Notamacropus eugenii: one gene and its partner. The protein of the gene in region 1 interacts with the protein of each later gene in a pairwise test. Links are inferred from orthologs where the notes say so. Each region holds a gene or a part of one and is shown on either strand. Other genes may lie near its edges.

Evidence for each region. The genes of interacting proteins can lie anywhere in the genome.
Region 2: the proteins of DISC1 (region 1) and SRGAP2 interact in a two-hybrid assay, tested with the Homo sapiens proteins (2 studies listed by BioGRID and IntAct). The link is inferred for Notamacropus eugenii from reciprocal best matches to the Homo sapiens genes DISC1 and SRGAP2.

The regions. Positions count from the first base shown.
Region 1 is NC_092873.1:390,009,367-390,016,371, reverse strand, and holds the start of DISC1 (disrupted in schizophrenia 1 protein), read right to left. Parts: upstream 3,004-7,005; 5' UTR 2,207-3,003; coding exon 2,107-2,206; intron 1-2,106. UniProt on the Homo sapiens protein: Involved in the regulation of multiple aspects of embryonic and adult neurogenesis. Required for neural progenitor proliferation in the ventrical/subventrical zone during embryonic brain development and in the adult dentate gyrus of the hippocampus.
Region 2 is NC_092873.1:433,185,391-433,192,965, reverse strand, and holds the start of SRGAP2 (SLIT-ROBO Rho GTPase-activating protein 2), read left to right. Parts: upstream 1-4,558; 5' UTR 4,559-4,631; coding exon 4,632-4,698; intron 4,699-7,575. UniProt on the Homo sapiens protein: Postsynaptic RAC1 GTPase activating protein (GAP) that plays a key role in neuronal morphogenesis and migration mainly during development of the cerebral cortex. Regulates excitatory and inhibitory synapse maturation and density in cortical pyramidal neurons.

The DNA of each region.
Region 1 (7,005 bases):
AAACAAAAAGAGTCAACAAGATCATTTCAAGCATACTGGGGGAAAAACAACTTGTAAGATTACAATTAACTTGCTCCTTTCATTTCTAAATATTTTTATTGAGTTGCTTCTCCAAACCAAACCAGGAACTGTCATTTCCTCTCTGTGACAAGCACAGTCATATCTGTAATGCCTTTCTGCCCTATCGGTTTCTAAAATATTTACTAAGTGCTAGGTTTTTAGAGCATTCTGTGATATGTTGCAGTTTCTTTTCTTTGAAGAATCTATATTAATCACTAAGACTGGGTTCCTCAGTTGCTTTAGATGCCTAATATTCAAGCATCTCTTAGTTTAGAGGAATAACTGGACAAGTGAGCTGTTCTGAATTGAAATCCTACCAAGTCAGCAAACTTCTCTGAATCTCAAGGTCCTCATCAATAAAATGAGAATAATAATCCCACAGGATTGTTGTGAGGATCAAATGAGAAAATGTATGTAAAGTGCTTTGTGAACCTTAAAATGATTGTTATTTCCAACATTCCATCATCTAGGCTTTTCAATAAATTGAACTGGCCTTGCACTATTTATTTTTTCGAATGTCAGTCAACTAGCATTTATTAAGCTCTTTTATGTGCCAGGCATTGTACTAAGCTCTGGGGATAAAAAGAAAGGCAAAAATCAGTCCCTGCTCTCAAGAAACTCACAATCTGATGGGTGAGACAACATGCATAAAACAGTGTGCAAACATGAGATAGATATATATATACATATGAAAAAATATATATAAATATAGGATAAATTGGGAATAGTCTCAGTAGAAATTCCCTAAGTTTGGGGAGAATTGGAAAAGGCTTCTTGCACAAGGTGGGACTCAAAAGAAACCAGGGAAGCCAGAGGTGAGGAGTGGGGGCATTCCAGGCCTGTAGAAAAGCCAGAGAAAACTCTGAGTCAAGACGGAGGGTTTGTTGTAGGGTAGTATAACCATAACCCACTTTAGCATCATATGAAACTTTTGAATTCCTTTGCAGACACTTTCAGAAGGAAATGAATTGAGTTAATTGAATTCTTCAGAATAGTCTACCTTTAATGAATCTAGTATCAGCACTGCCGCTAAGAGTTTATTCTTACCACCTGTCGGGGACCCCTGCAGCGAACCTTGGTAAGCGGTATGTAGTGCTGTTAAATCAGATGTGGCACCCCATGAAACTGTTTACGTTGCCCGGGTCTGGGGTCGGTAGCGGGACTACATTCTCTCAATCTTCTCATCACCTCCTTTCTAACCTTCCCTCTTCCATTCTCCTCATTTCCCGAGCCTCACGTCATGACTAGTCGGTAGGGATGGGGCCCCAGAAATCGAAGCATGGTTAAGAACTGCTCTTGCTGATCCGACAGAAGTTGGGGAACCTCCCACCTCCTTCCTAGCACTACCGTGCTCTTAAGTCCAGCGTGCCCTGCCCCCACGTCAGCGGCCGCCAACACAGGGAAGTTAGGGAGGGGGTCAATGCACAGAGAAGGGCTCTTGTCCAGTCAGTTTCCTGCAATTGATCTAAACGAAAACAAAGCGAAGCAGTTCCCGGGTTAACACGAAAAGCCACACACCCACCCGCGGACTGGGAGCGCTGCAGGCTGGGACTCGGTCCAGCCCCGATCCCAAACCACGCTGACTTACAAAACGCCTACCAGCGCGCAGGCAGAGTGCCCTCCTTCTCTGGTTCTTAAACCAAATAAGAAAATAAGCGCGTACTCGTTAGGGAAAGGAGCTTCGGTGCTGGGCACCCGCAGAGGGACAGGCGCGCACTCCCAGCCGTGACCCTGTTTGTCTCTAGGCACGGCCCCCGCACGCTCTGTGCCTCAGTTTCTCCCCGCTGTAACGGGGCGGTAGAAGTTGCCATTGTTACCTTTGCCACTTCCTGGATGTCAGTTACTTCTCCACACCCACCCAGCCCCCAAACTGCTAGGCGGTTTCAGTTCCCCGCTCCGCTCGAATCCCTCTCCGAAGAACCGTGGTGAAAGCTCCAGCCCGACCCCCACCCCACCCTTGCCCGTCCAGGGGAGGGGAGAGGAGTGGGAGAAGCTGGAGGGACCCTGCTCGAAGTGCTGTCCTGGGTGGCTGTGGAGGTCTCTTACCAGGGCTCTGACCCCCGCTGTTGCTTCTGCCGCTGCCCCTCAGTTGCTCAGGGCGCTCGCCCCAGGCGGCCGGGGCACCCCGCTGCCCCCTGCCCAGCATCGATCCTCCCTACGAGCTCTGCTACCCCCGTTGCTTCCTCTCCACGCCCGCCAGAGCTCGGGGAGTGGGAAGCCGGGGGCGGGGAGGGGGGGGGCTCCAGCCACGCGGGGCTCCTCCTCCTCTTCTCTCCCTCCGTTTCTCCGGCGCTGTCTGCACGGTCTACTCCCCTGGGGACACCCGGGCCTGGCCCTTCAGTCAGAGAGGCATGAAACGAGAGCTGGGAGAGGAGTTGTGAGAAGAAGGGGATGGGGGTCAGCAAGGAGACTGCTTCCTTCTCCAGGACCGTGATTTCTGTGAGATTTCCGAGCTCTCTAAGCACCTCCAGCACCCCCCTTGAGCTTCCCCAACTTCGGTGGTGGGGGCCCCAGGCTTGCCGAAAGTTTGGTTTCTGCTTTTACTAAATCCCAGCTCTGAACCTTGGAAGAGAAGAGCTTGGATGAGAGAACGAGGATATAGAATTTAAGGATGAAAGAATATGAAGAGTATGGTATGGAAAATAAAAGGGAATCCCCCAGCTTCCAAATTTTGGGAAGGGTAAAAACATAGGCGTGTGAGGTGGAGTAGAGTGGGAGGAAATTTCGAGGAAAAGAATGACTAACTGAATGAAAACAACAACAACTTGATATTAAGACCAGCAATGTGCCAGCTATAGCCTACTGGTTAGAGTAGTGGAAGGTGGGGCAGTGATAGAGTGCCCAGCCTGGAGTCAGGAGAAATCTTCCTGAGTTCAATCTGGCCTCCTACACTTACTAGTTGTGTGACCTTGGGCAAGTCACATAACCCTGTTTGCTTTTACCCTCATCTGTAAATTCAGCTGGAGGAGGCAATGGCAAATCAGGCCAGTGTCTTTGCCAAGAAAACTCCAAAGAGCATCACAAAGAGCCTAAGACAGTAAATTGCAGAAGAGGTGTTGACCTGCATTAGTAGAGGGACTTTCCTCACCTTCCTTACTTGGTAGTTCACTAGAGCCTAATACCCATCTTTAGGTACTAGTGATTCAAATACAAAAGTAAAACTGCTTCTGTCCTCAAATAGCTTATTTTATAACAGTGTGGAGCAACACATATAGGAGAGTCATAACCAAAGAAGGAAGTTTTTGTCTGAGAAGCCACAAGAATAAAGAGTGGTTTCCAAAGGACTCATGATGAAAAATGCTATCCATCTCCTTAGAGAGAACTGAAGAATTCTGAGTGCAGATTGAAGCAGATTTTTTCACTTAATTTGTGTGTGTGTGTGTGTATTTTCTTTTGCAGTATGGCTAACACGGAAATATGTTTTGCATGACTTCACATGTATAATTGCTATATTGCTTGCCTTCTCAGAGGGTGAGGGAGGGACCAAAGGGAAGAAGAGGATTTGGAATTCAAAATTTTTTAAAATGAATGTTTAAAAATTTTAATGTAATTGGGAACTATGAAAGGAAATAAATAAAAAAATTTTGAAAAGATAAAGAATGATGAGTAATGGATGGCCCTGTCTTTTCCTAGAAGCACTGATAGTACTGATTTGATCACTATTCCCAGGAAAAGAAATGGCAAAATGTTCCAAGATGTCTGATTTGGGTGAATTTGAGACTGCTAGATGTAGTTACTTGAAAACCAAGAGCTGAACCCCAGGATGGAGCTCCAAAGCTGAATGGGTTAACTCACCTAAAAAGGACATTTGGTCTCTTTTCCAAAGAGTGTGCTGTTCCAGGTAGAAAAAGGAAATAGTGACAAGATAATGGCAAGATGGGCAGAAGAAGGTAGAATGGAAAAAATGGGAGCATAGGTAGTAGCAACCCTACAATCAAAGTAACCTAAACAAAATTCAGGCATCTGAATTCTCATCAATTTCCTAATGCCATTGCAGTGGGTCTGTCACTACCCCAGATGTCTTTGACCTCTCCTTAAGCTCCTAGGCTAACAGAATACTCATCCTAGGGGTTGTTTATTTGTTCCTTCAACAAACATTTAAGTGCGCTTATAGGCAGTGGAGCACATAAAGACATGGATCAAGTGATAAGGCAGTTAGGTGATTTCAGACCTAGTTGACCAGATCCCAAAAGTATTGATGGGGATGTCTATGCCACCTTGGAGGGAGATCTCAAATGAAGATCCTAAGGAATCTGTCCTTGGCTTTGTGCTGTTCAACATTCTAATCAATGACATGGAGGAAGGTATAGATAACATGTTTGTAAAATTTGCAGGTGACATGTCAAAGAAAGCAACAACCAACATGTCAAAAGACAAAAAAAAAATCAAAAAGGTTTCAATAAGATAGAGTAATGGGCTGACTCCAATTAAGGAAAATATAACAAGAATGAGTAGAAAACATTGGCTGTAACGATATAAAAAGATTTGAAGGTTTTAAAGCAATGGTGTCCAACTCAAAAAAAAAATGGCAGTCACTAAACCATACATAAGAATCTCCTCAACCACATATTGACTTAGTTGTTGTCTGTTGTATTTTTATTTATTTTGCTAAATATTTTCCAATTACATTTTAATTTGGCTTAGCTGCACCCAGGAATACTATGGGCCATGTTTTTGACATCTCTGTTTTCGACCTTTACAAGTTCAATATAAGGCAGTCAAAAAAAATAGGATCTTAGACACAGGAAGAAATAATAAAAGGAAGCAATGGGTGATTAGGTCTCAGCAAATAAGTGGTATGGATTTAAAAAGTATACAAAATTCAGGGGAAAGAAAGTTCACTTGTGTATAGGAAAGACTTCACAAAGAAGATAGGATTTAAGCTGAAGCCTGAAAAATGGAAAGGATTTAGCTGGATGGAGAGGAAGAGAAAGGTCATTTTAGGGGGGATAAACAGCATGAATGTATCTGATCTTCCTTTCCTTCCATGTACCACTTTACTCATGTTGGAGAATGGTAGTGGCCTAACTACCTCATGCTGAGACAAGGATCAATAAGGTAAACTAGAAGTTCTGTAGATACCAAGGTTTAGCTAGATTTCAGTGTTCAAGAAGGAAGACTCTTAGTAGATAAGGTTGGAAAGGTTCAGATAGTGACATCCAGAATGCCAGGTTTAGGAGCTTGAATCCTGTCCTATAGGTATCAATTAGCCATAAGAAGTTTTTGAGCAAGAGATAGAAATTAATCATGATCAAAATCAGTGTTCATGGATATGTGCATGGCACTCTATTCATATAAAGAAGTGTTGCATTCTCTTTGGTCCAGAAGCATGGCATGATTTTAAAAGATTCATCTGGCTGCAATATTTAGAATATGACATCTGGAGTTTCCAAATATGTCCCTACAGGGATGGAGAAGAATATCAGAAACATCACCCTGGTAGAATGCAACATCAAATAATATCTGAATGATCTTATCAAGACATATTTGCCTTTCTAGGGAATCAATTTAGTGTAGTGAGAAGACTAGACTTGGTATCAGTCAATCCACTACCATTTATTAAATACTTATTATGTGCCAACCACGGTGCTAAGTGCTGAGAATAGAAATAGAAAGAAAGGCAGCGTTTACCCTCAAGGAGCTTACATTCTGATGAGAGAAGACAATGCATAAAAGGAAGTTGAAAAGGGGCTGGAAGGAGAAAAAGGTACCTCATGAGGGAGGCATAGTAGAGAAAGTCCTAAGCAAAACCTAGAGAGGAATGAGACATCAGTGGCCTGAGTGCCTTCCTTAAATAGAGGTTCTAAGAGGAGCCATCCAATGAGAGGAGGAAGAAGCCACAGGAGTAGAGGGTACTTCCAATATGTGAATTCCAAGGCTACAGTGAAGATTCATGGATGAAGAACTGGGATATGGTGAGGTTTTAGAATAGTAGAAGAAATCTGGAGTACAGTCTGAAGAGGAATGAGAATTAGGAGAGGCAGATTTTATTCCCCCCTCTGATATTTACCAGCTCCATAACTATTGATAAATCATGTCATCTATACTATTAATTAATCATGTCATCTATCTGAGCCTCAGGTTTCTTCACTAGAAAATGGAGGAGATACCTACTTCATGTGTTGCATTGAGAATCAAATATCATGGACTCCCCAAAACTACCCCAGGTCTGAGGTACTTTGTAGATCAATACTCATTCAAAACCATAGCTCTTGAGTCCCCACTGATGAGTGAATGAATAAACATTTATTAAGGGCTTACTGTGTGCCAAGTACTATAATTGATCTTCAACCAGGTCATGCCTACCAACAGCAGATTACCCCTAGGGCTATTCTCCATTTCTACATTTTCACCTGGTAATCTCATCAATTCCTAAGGATTCAGTTTTCATCTCCATGGTGAAGATGCTCAGATCTGTTTGTTCAGTCCTAATCTCTCTCTTGACCTCAAGTCTAACTTCTCCAATTGCCTACTGAACATCTAGAATTAGATGTCCTGTGGACATCTTAAATTGAACTCATAATCTTCTCCCATGCCCTCTCCCTAACTTTCCTATTGCTGTCATCCTACTAGTCAGCCTGACTCAAAATCTAGGTGTCATCCTTGACTCTTCATCCTCTCACTACCAATTTTACTTTCCTAACATTTCTCCTATATGTCCCATTCACCACATGAAGGGAAAGAGAATAAGCATTTATATAGTGTTTCCTGTATGCTAGGCACTCTCTTAAGAGTTTTTTTTTAATTTTATAAATACTATCTCACTTGATCTTCACAACAAATCTGTGAGGTTGGTTCTATTATTATCTCTATTTTACCACTGAGGAAACTGAAAGGTTAAATGTTTTGTCCATGGTCATACAACTAGTAAGTATCTGAGACTGGATTTGAACTCAGGTCTTTCTGGCTCCAGGACCAGCATTCCATATAATGTACTATCTAGCT
Region 2 (7,575 bases), about 43 Mb from region 1:
AGTTCTCTCTCTCCTTCCCTGGAGGGTACCACTGTCTGCCTCTGGCAGCGTTGCTCGCCTAGGGGGGTGACTTTCTAGATGGAGGCGCCTCTCAGCGTTCTCCCTGGCCCTCAGCAGGAGACCTTGACCCCATCTTTTCCTCTCTTTAGCTGCCTCCTTCTCTCTTTCTCTCTGGATGCTCGCCCTCAACTCCTTCTCCCTCCTTAGGCTTCTCCTCTCGGCTCTCTCTGTGTCCCTCTGGATGGAGCCCCTCAGCTCTCGCTCTCTCCGTAGGAACCTCCTCTCGGCCCTCTCTCTGTCCCTCTGGATGGAGCCCCTCAGCTCTCTCTCCCTCGCTGTATACCTCCCCTCTGCCACGTGCGTTTGCCTCTGGATGGCCGCCCTCAGACCCTGCTCTCTCTGGATCTGCCTCCTCTCCGACCTCTCCCTCTCCCGGATTAGGTCCCTCAGGTCGATCTCTCTGGACTGCCGGCTTTCGATCTGCTCCCTGTCCCTCTGGACGCTCCCCCTCGACTCCCTGACCCTCACCCTCCTTAGCTGCCGGCCCTCCTCGCGCTCCCTGTCCTCCTGGACGGCGCTTCTCGGCACCCTCTCCCTGACCCTGGCGAGCCCGTCCCCGTCCCTCTCCCGTTCTTCGTTGAGGATGGCCCTGAGGTCCCTCTCTCTGACCGGGGCCCTGTCGTCGGGGCGCTCCCTGTCCTCCTGGACTGCGCTTCTCAGCACCCTCTCCCTGGCCCTGGCGAGCCGGTCCTCGTCTTCGCAGAGGAAGGCCCGGAGGTTCCTGTCTCTGCCGGGGGGCTCCCTGTCTCCCTGGAGGAACCTGACCTCTCTGAGCCTGTCGTCGCTTCTCCCCCAGTCCTCCTGGACTAAGCTGCTCAGCTCTCTGTCTCGTCTGAGGTACCTCGGCTCGACCCTCTCCCTCACTATCGGGACGTCCTCCCGTAGGTTCCTCGGTCGCGCAGGGTACCTGGCTTCGGCCCTCTCCCTCCCCACGGGGGCTTCGGCCCACAGTTCCCTGCCTCTTCTGGAGCACAGCCGCTGAGCGCTCTCTCGCTCCTGGATGGCACACCTGAGATCCCTCTCCCTCCAGTAATGCCTCTCCTCCAATCTCGGCCTCTCCTCCTGGACAGCCCCGCAGATGGTCCTCTCTAGTCCCTGACGCCTCTGCTGTAACCTCGCTCTATCTTCCTGGATGATCCCCCTCAGCGATCTCTCCCTCTCCTTGGATAGCTGCCCCCCCAGCTCTCTCCCTAGAGGTTCCCTCTCCTCAGCTCGGCCCTGTCTCCCTCGACGCCCCCTTCCCTTGGCTCGCTCTCTCCCCCTCGAACTGGACCGGTCAGGCGCGCACGCGCCGGCGCGCGCCCTGGAAAGAGCGGGGCGGGGCGGGGCAGGGCAGGTCGGTTCGGCTCGGTCCTCGCGGGGTTCCTGTCACCGGACACGCCGTTTTCACTCTCCTCCTTTGGCTTTCCTGACCGGCTGTCAGTTTGAATTACCAACGTCGCGCTCCTATTGGGGGGAAGCCTGGACACGCCTTCTTCCCCCATTGGAAGATTCTGGACACGCCTCCAAGTGAAAGTCTGAGTGGAGGAGAACCTTGCCTAGCCCGCCCCGGCAACCGTATCTGTTCGGTTCTGCTTGTCAGTTGGAAGAATTTGGCTACGCCTCCGATTTTGATTGGTGAACTTCAAGGAGGTTTAGGCAAGTCTTCGCTTTCGCCCCAGTGAAAGGGAGAGAGGACGCCCTTCGAGCTTCCAATTGGAAGACATTAGACATTCCCCTCAGATTCTTATTCTCTATTGGACAAAATTCCCCGCAACGCCTCGCCCCCTTGACACGATCCAATTGGTTCTGTCTACCCTTTCGAGTTCGCGTGTGGTTGCTGAGCGTCTTGTTCCCACCTCCCTAGTGTTTTTTTTTAACTTTAGTTGGAGGTCTCGAGGGGTGGGGCTCACTCCAAGACTCCGCCCATGCACGATAGGCCACGCCCTTTGATTTTCCAGCCCAACCTTGCTCTTGGGTAGGTGTGGAGGGGCGGGATCAGTCTTCTTTAATGGCTCCAGCGTCCGTCAGTCGAGAGACGGCGGACAATGATTGGCAATCCGGTGGGATTCCTCTCCGAGATCCGTCCGGGGAGCCGGCGGAGGCTCGCCTAGGGGGTGGGGGAGGGAAGCGAACCGCAAAGTAGCGGGTGGATGGGCGGGAAGTGAGAAGGGAAAGCGTTCCCGGGGCCGGGGGACCCAGCCGCGCCGGAGCCAGGTAAAGGCTCCTTCCTTCTCCCTTTTCTCCCTCCTGGAGAGAATCGCAGACTGGGGCGCGAAGGAGAGCGCGGCGTCCGCTGCCTGCTTGGCTTCTCCGCCATCCCGTTGCCCGCCGGCCGGCGGTCCAGGCTCCGGGAGACCCTTCCCAGATCCCTTGTGCACCGCCCTCGTCTTCTCCCGGCCGGCGTCCGGCGTGGCGCCCCCAGCGCGGCCCCCAGACCCCTCTTTGGACGTCCGCCCGCACCTGACAACCCCCCTTCATCAGAACGGCCCCGGCCCTTTCCCGGGAGGCAGCGCTGACTAATTACTCACTGCCTCCGGAGCCCGGCAGGCGGCACCGTCCGTCCGTCCTCCCGCGCTGGGCGCACGCCCGGGGCCGGCCGCCTCGTACCTCGCTCTCCCCAGCGTGCTCCCGGGAATTGCGCTTCCCTCCCTCGGACCAGCCCCCCGGCCTGGCCGGCCTTCCGGGGTCGGGCAGCCCTTCCCCGAGGAGCGCGCCCCTCCCGGGGGATCAGCCGAGAGCTTGCTCCCCCCGGCCAAGTGGAGTAGCCCACCTCGTTCCCCTCCGTTCCCCCCCCTTCCTGCTCCCGGGAGCCACGCCGGCCCTCCTCCCTCCTCGCTTCCCTCCTCCCTTCCTCCCGCTGCCCTTCCCTTCGACCGCGGGAAGGGGGAGACACAGGCGGGCTCCTCCGGCGCAGCGCAGCGGAGAGGGCAGGCGGGAGGGAAGGAAGCCGAGGGGCGTCCGAGGGTCTGCCCGCCCCTCAGCCCGCTATGCGCCCCGGCTCGTCTCTCTGTCGGGCACCTTTAGGGGGTGAGAAGCCGGGCCTGGAGAATGCGCCCCCGGGGTTAGAGGGCTCCGGGATCTGGAGTTGGGCGGCGGGGATGTGACTGAGAGTGCGGGTGGAGGAGGGGTCTCCCCTCTCGCGCGGGGCCGATCCCCGCAGGGCCGGCTGGGCTGGGCTGGAGCGGGGTGGCTGGGGGAAGGCAGGGCTGCCCTCCCGCGCTTAGCTGATGGTGTCCTGGCGGGGCTCTGCGGCCCCGTTTCCTGCCTCTGCCGGCCACATTTTTCCTCTGGATGTGGCTCGTACAGAGTAGGGTCCCCCCCCTTTCCCTGCAGACCTCGCCCTCCTCCTGGCATCCCCCCGCCTTTTACATTTGCTGCCAAGGGAAGCTAGTAACCAAAAACAAAACAACGAGGAGGAGGAAGGGGAGGAAAAGTTGTGCGCTAGTAGCTCGTCCCCGCTGGGAACTGCATCCGCACCCCCTCCCCCTGCCCTGGCCTTTTGATCGCCCTTTGATGTCTAGGGGAGATACTGGGGTTGGGGCGGGGTCCGATGGCCGCCTTCTAGGTCCAGGAAGGCTTTGGCTTTGGCTGGGGCTGGGCACGGCTCAGGTCGGGCAGGATTGGGGGCGGGTGGGGTGGGTGGCTGCGGCTGAGTCCCCGCAGCCCTCCCTCCCCTGGCTCCGAGCGAGCCGAGGCTTTGAAGGGATTTTGTCTCTTTAAATTCAGAGGGAGCTTGACCTTGCCGCACCTCCCTCCACCCCTCTGCTGCCCACCCTCCTGGGGTGGGGGTGAATGGGGCTTGGACTCCGCAGCCCCTAGTTTGGGAAGACGTCGCCTCCCCCGCCCCCGCCTGCGTATCTGTATCTGCACTCCCGCTGATACCCCCTTTTCCATCCTCTCCCCCACCCCCTTTTCCTGCATTTACAGGCAAGTGAACCGAAGAAAACGACTTCCGATCCTGCATTGCTGCAGCTCCCATTTGGGATCTGATTTGCATCATCTCAGGAGCCCGTAAGACCAAACCAAACCAAAAAAGAAGCAAGCCTGGGATCAGCCCTCCACGCACACACACAGACACACATAACACACACACGCACACACATACACACGCACACACACACGGACACACGCCCAGACGCACCCCCACACCCTCGCCCCGACACTGACTGTCAGGCGCACACGGATCCCCACACCCCCACACCATGGTGCTGTGCGGAAGGACTTCCACTCCCTGCCTGTGCCGTTGATGTCAGTCCCCAGGACAGCCTCCCGGCGCTGCGGCTCGGCTGGCTGATGCTGATGCTGCGGCTCGGGGCTCGGCACTAGGACACCGACGCCGCTGCTCCGCCGCTGCTCCGCCCCGGCCCCGGCCCCCGCCACCGCCAACATCTGCATGTTCCCGCCGCGCTGGCCGCTCGCTGCCTCCCCAGCCGGCAGCCTTGCTACGGACTGAGGCTCCCCGGAGCGCTGGCTTCTGCCGGGAGACCCAGCCGCCCTCGGAAGAGGAGATCTCGGGGATTTTAACTGGAGTGGGCCGGGTTTTTTTTCGGGTGGATCTATCCATTCGGGAGCTGAATTAGGAAAGAAACATGACGTCTCCGGCTAAATTCAAAAAGGATAAGGAGATCATAGCAGAATACGATACTCAGGTCAAAGGTAGGTGGTCTTTGAAAATTGCTGTATACGCCTATTCATATGTACTTGTATATACACACGTATATGTACACACACACACACACATATATACATGTTTAAATATAGTCTATTGTGGCTCGTCGGGAAGGTTTCATTTCCCTGGATAGAGCAGGTGGGGGAGTTTTTATTCAGAGAAGACTGTCGGGTGAGGGGGATGAGGGTGTGTACCACCCTAGGATGGCAGGGCTAGGGGCCACAGGCACTAATGGAAATTTTCCAGAGCTTTCAGGTCTGCCCTAGGGACCAGGCCATCACTGTAAGTGCCCCCTTACCTTGCCTAGACTGGGGGGTGGGGGGGCACGTGGTTCTTGAAAGGATAAAAGGGGTAATCTGCTTTTGAGTTTGGGTCTTCGGAATGATTGAAATCTGACAGGTGTTTGGAGATGCATTTCACAGCCTGAAGACTAATCTGGGCTGGAAAAGGCAACCTAGAGAAGGTGTTTTATTTGGAAAGCTCCTGCAGAGGTTGGGTTTATAAGGGTGGTTTTTTTCTTAGTGTTTTTTTTCCTACTGCAGCTATTTTAAACTGTAAGACTTGCTATGGTATTACAAAACAGTCCAGGAACATCAGCTGCTAGGCATACCTGCCCAGCTACATCTAGGATCAGCCTGCTATGTGGAGAGTAGAAATCAAGGCACCCAACCTCCATCCTTTCACCCTCCACCCTGAATTTGTATGTGGTGACATGGGTTTTGAACTGAATTTTGATTCCCCAGGGTTGTGGTTCTGGAAAAGGAAAAGAAAGATCTGTGTTTAACCCTTTGTTCTTTTCCTTCTTTATTTTGAAGCCTTGAATTATTTCCCTGCAAAACAGGAATGAAAAGGTAAACTTGTAGAGGCAACTGACCAGTTCTCAGCTCTCCTAGGTCCACTGATAGACTTGACTAGTGAATCCCCCATTCCTAGAGCTCCTTCCCAAATTCCTTATTGCCCTTCCTTCCCTGGATTCCTGCCTGTTAATGAGGAACACACAACCAACATTTGTGTGGCTACCCAACCTGGCTAGCTAATCAGTCACTGGAGATAGCCCTGTGCCTCAGTCTAGTGAGATATCAGCTGGGGGATGGGAAATAGGCCTTGAATGTTATAACACATGGCTGGAAATCTAGGTTTTCCTTTGTTTCAGGGTAGAGGGAAGTGTCCCCTCCTCCTCTCCCTGTATCTATGTTAGGAAACCTTTTTTATAACATCGAGGACTTAGGGAGAGCTTTGTAACCCTTCCTCCAACCAATGCTTGGGAGGCTTTAAAATGGGAAGCCAGTTGCTTCCTTCTGCTTGGAGAGGCTTAATCTGCAGTTCCCACCATGCTGGGATCTCTTTATCTCCTCAGTTAGCTCCCCTCCAGAGTGTGCTCTGAAGGGTCTCTCTCATCAATTGACTGAAAGCCCCAGTAGGTTTAGAGCAGGGATAGGGAGCTAACTCAATTCTAGATCCAGTTGTGCTGGGCTGGGAGGGGTGTGGCTTCGAGTTAGAATTGAGTGAGGTCTTGGCCTCTTGTCCTGGTTGATAAGCCCTGACTCTTTTTGCAAACAATAGGCCACTGGCCTTTTGTGTCCTGTCCAGATTGGCTGCGTTCTGCTGGTTGGAATCCCCCCTCTCATTATAACTAGGTCTGTGCCTCTCCTTCACATCCTGTTCAGAACTGTTTCCATAGAGTTAATAACTTCCACTTTTCCAGGTTCTCTTCAGAGTCACCCCATTTGACCAACGGTACAAAGTGATTTTACACATATATTTTTAGGAAGTTTTGGGACTGAAAGGTGTTGTTAATAGAATCATCTTAGCCACTGATCCAGCTGGTAAAGGAATGCTGGAAATTCTCCTGTGTGCTCAGAGAATTAAACACTCGCATATTTACAAACACTGCTCTCTGAGATGATGTAATGCAGTTGGATCTTTGAGGTTTCTCTTTAACCTTGCCACAGACAGCAGAGTTTTCTTTCGCTCCAGTCTTTTCCCATTGACATTGTGTAGACTCAAAGAATCTTGGAACTAGAAGGAACCAGAGAAATGATGGTCTAACACTCTTATTTTGCAGATCAGGAAACTGGCCCAGAGACTTAAAGGATTTACCCAAGGTCACACAGCCAGTTAAGGGCAGAACTGGGATAAGAACCCAGGTCTTTAGACTTTCCGTCCAGCTCTCTTTTCACTATCAAACACTGCCTTTGTTCTGCTAGGTACTAGGAATTTAAAAAAAAAAAAACCACAGTCTCTACCTTCAACGAGTTTACAATAGTTGTAGAATACAGAGTTAGTCCTTATTCTACTTGGGTCTTGCTTCGGAGTCATCTGAATGAATTTTAAATCTGAGGATAAAGACGAACTTTTTGAGACCCTCTCTACCTTCTTTGTGGGTTTTTTTTTCCCCTTCCCTTCCTACTCTTGTAGCCACGTGGGGAGGTATAGCACTTTTGAGACTGTAAGGCCCAACCTCATCAATCCCTTTGTGGTTTTGCTGGGGGCTGCCCTCTGAGACAGCCTAACTTGTCTCCTTCCTGAAGACAAGAGCACTGTTTCTTAGCTTGTGGGGATTCAGATTCCTTTAGTAAAGTTCAGGCTTTGGGTGTCTGGTCAGATTCCACAGCCATGCCTCTGGGGCCCCTTGGTTCCTAGGGTATTAGTGCCTTTGCTGAGATTTGAGCTGATACAATGCTGAGGTGTAGGTAACGTCACCAAGGATGGAAGGGTAATATTTGGGTGAGTTAATGTAACTTCATATAATCTAGGCTATTGTCATTTCTTTGCAGAGACCTCCCTGCCCTGTATGTACCCCATTCCTCCCCCACTCACTTATTTATATTCTTAAGGTTTTTATAGTCTCCCAGAAAGCTTGT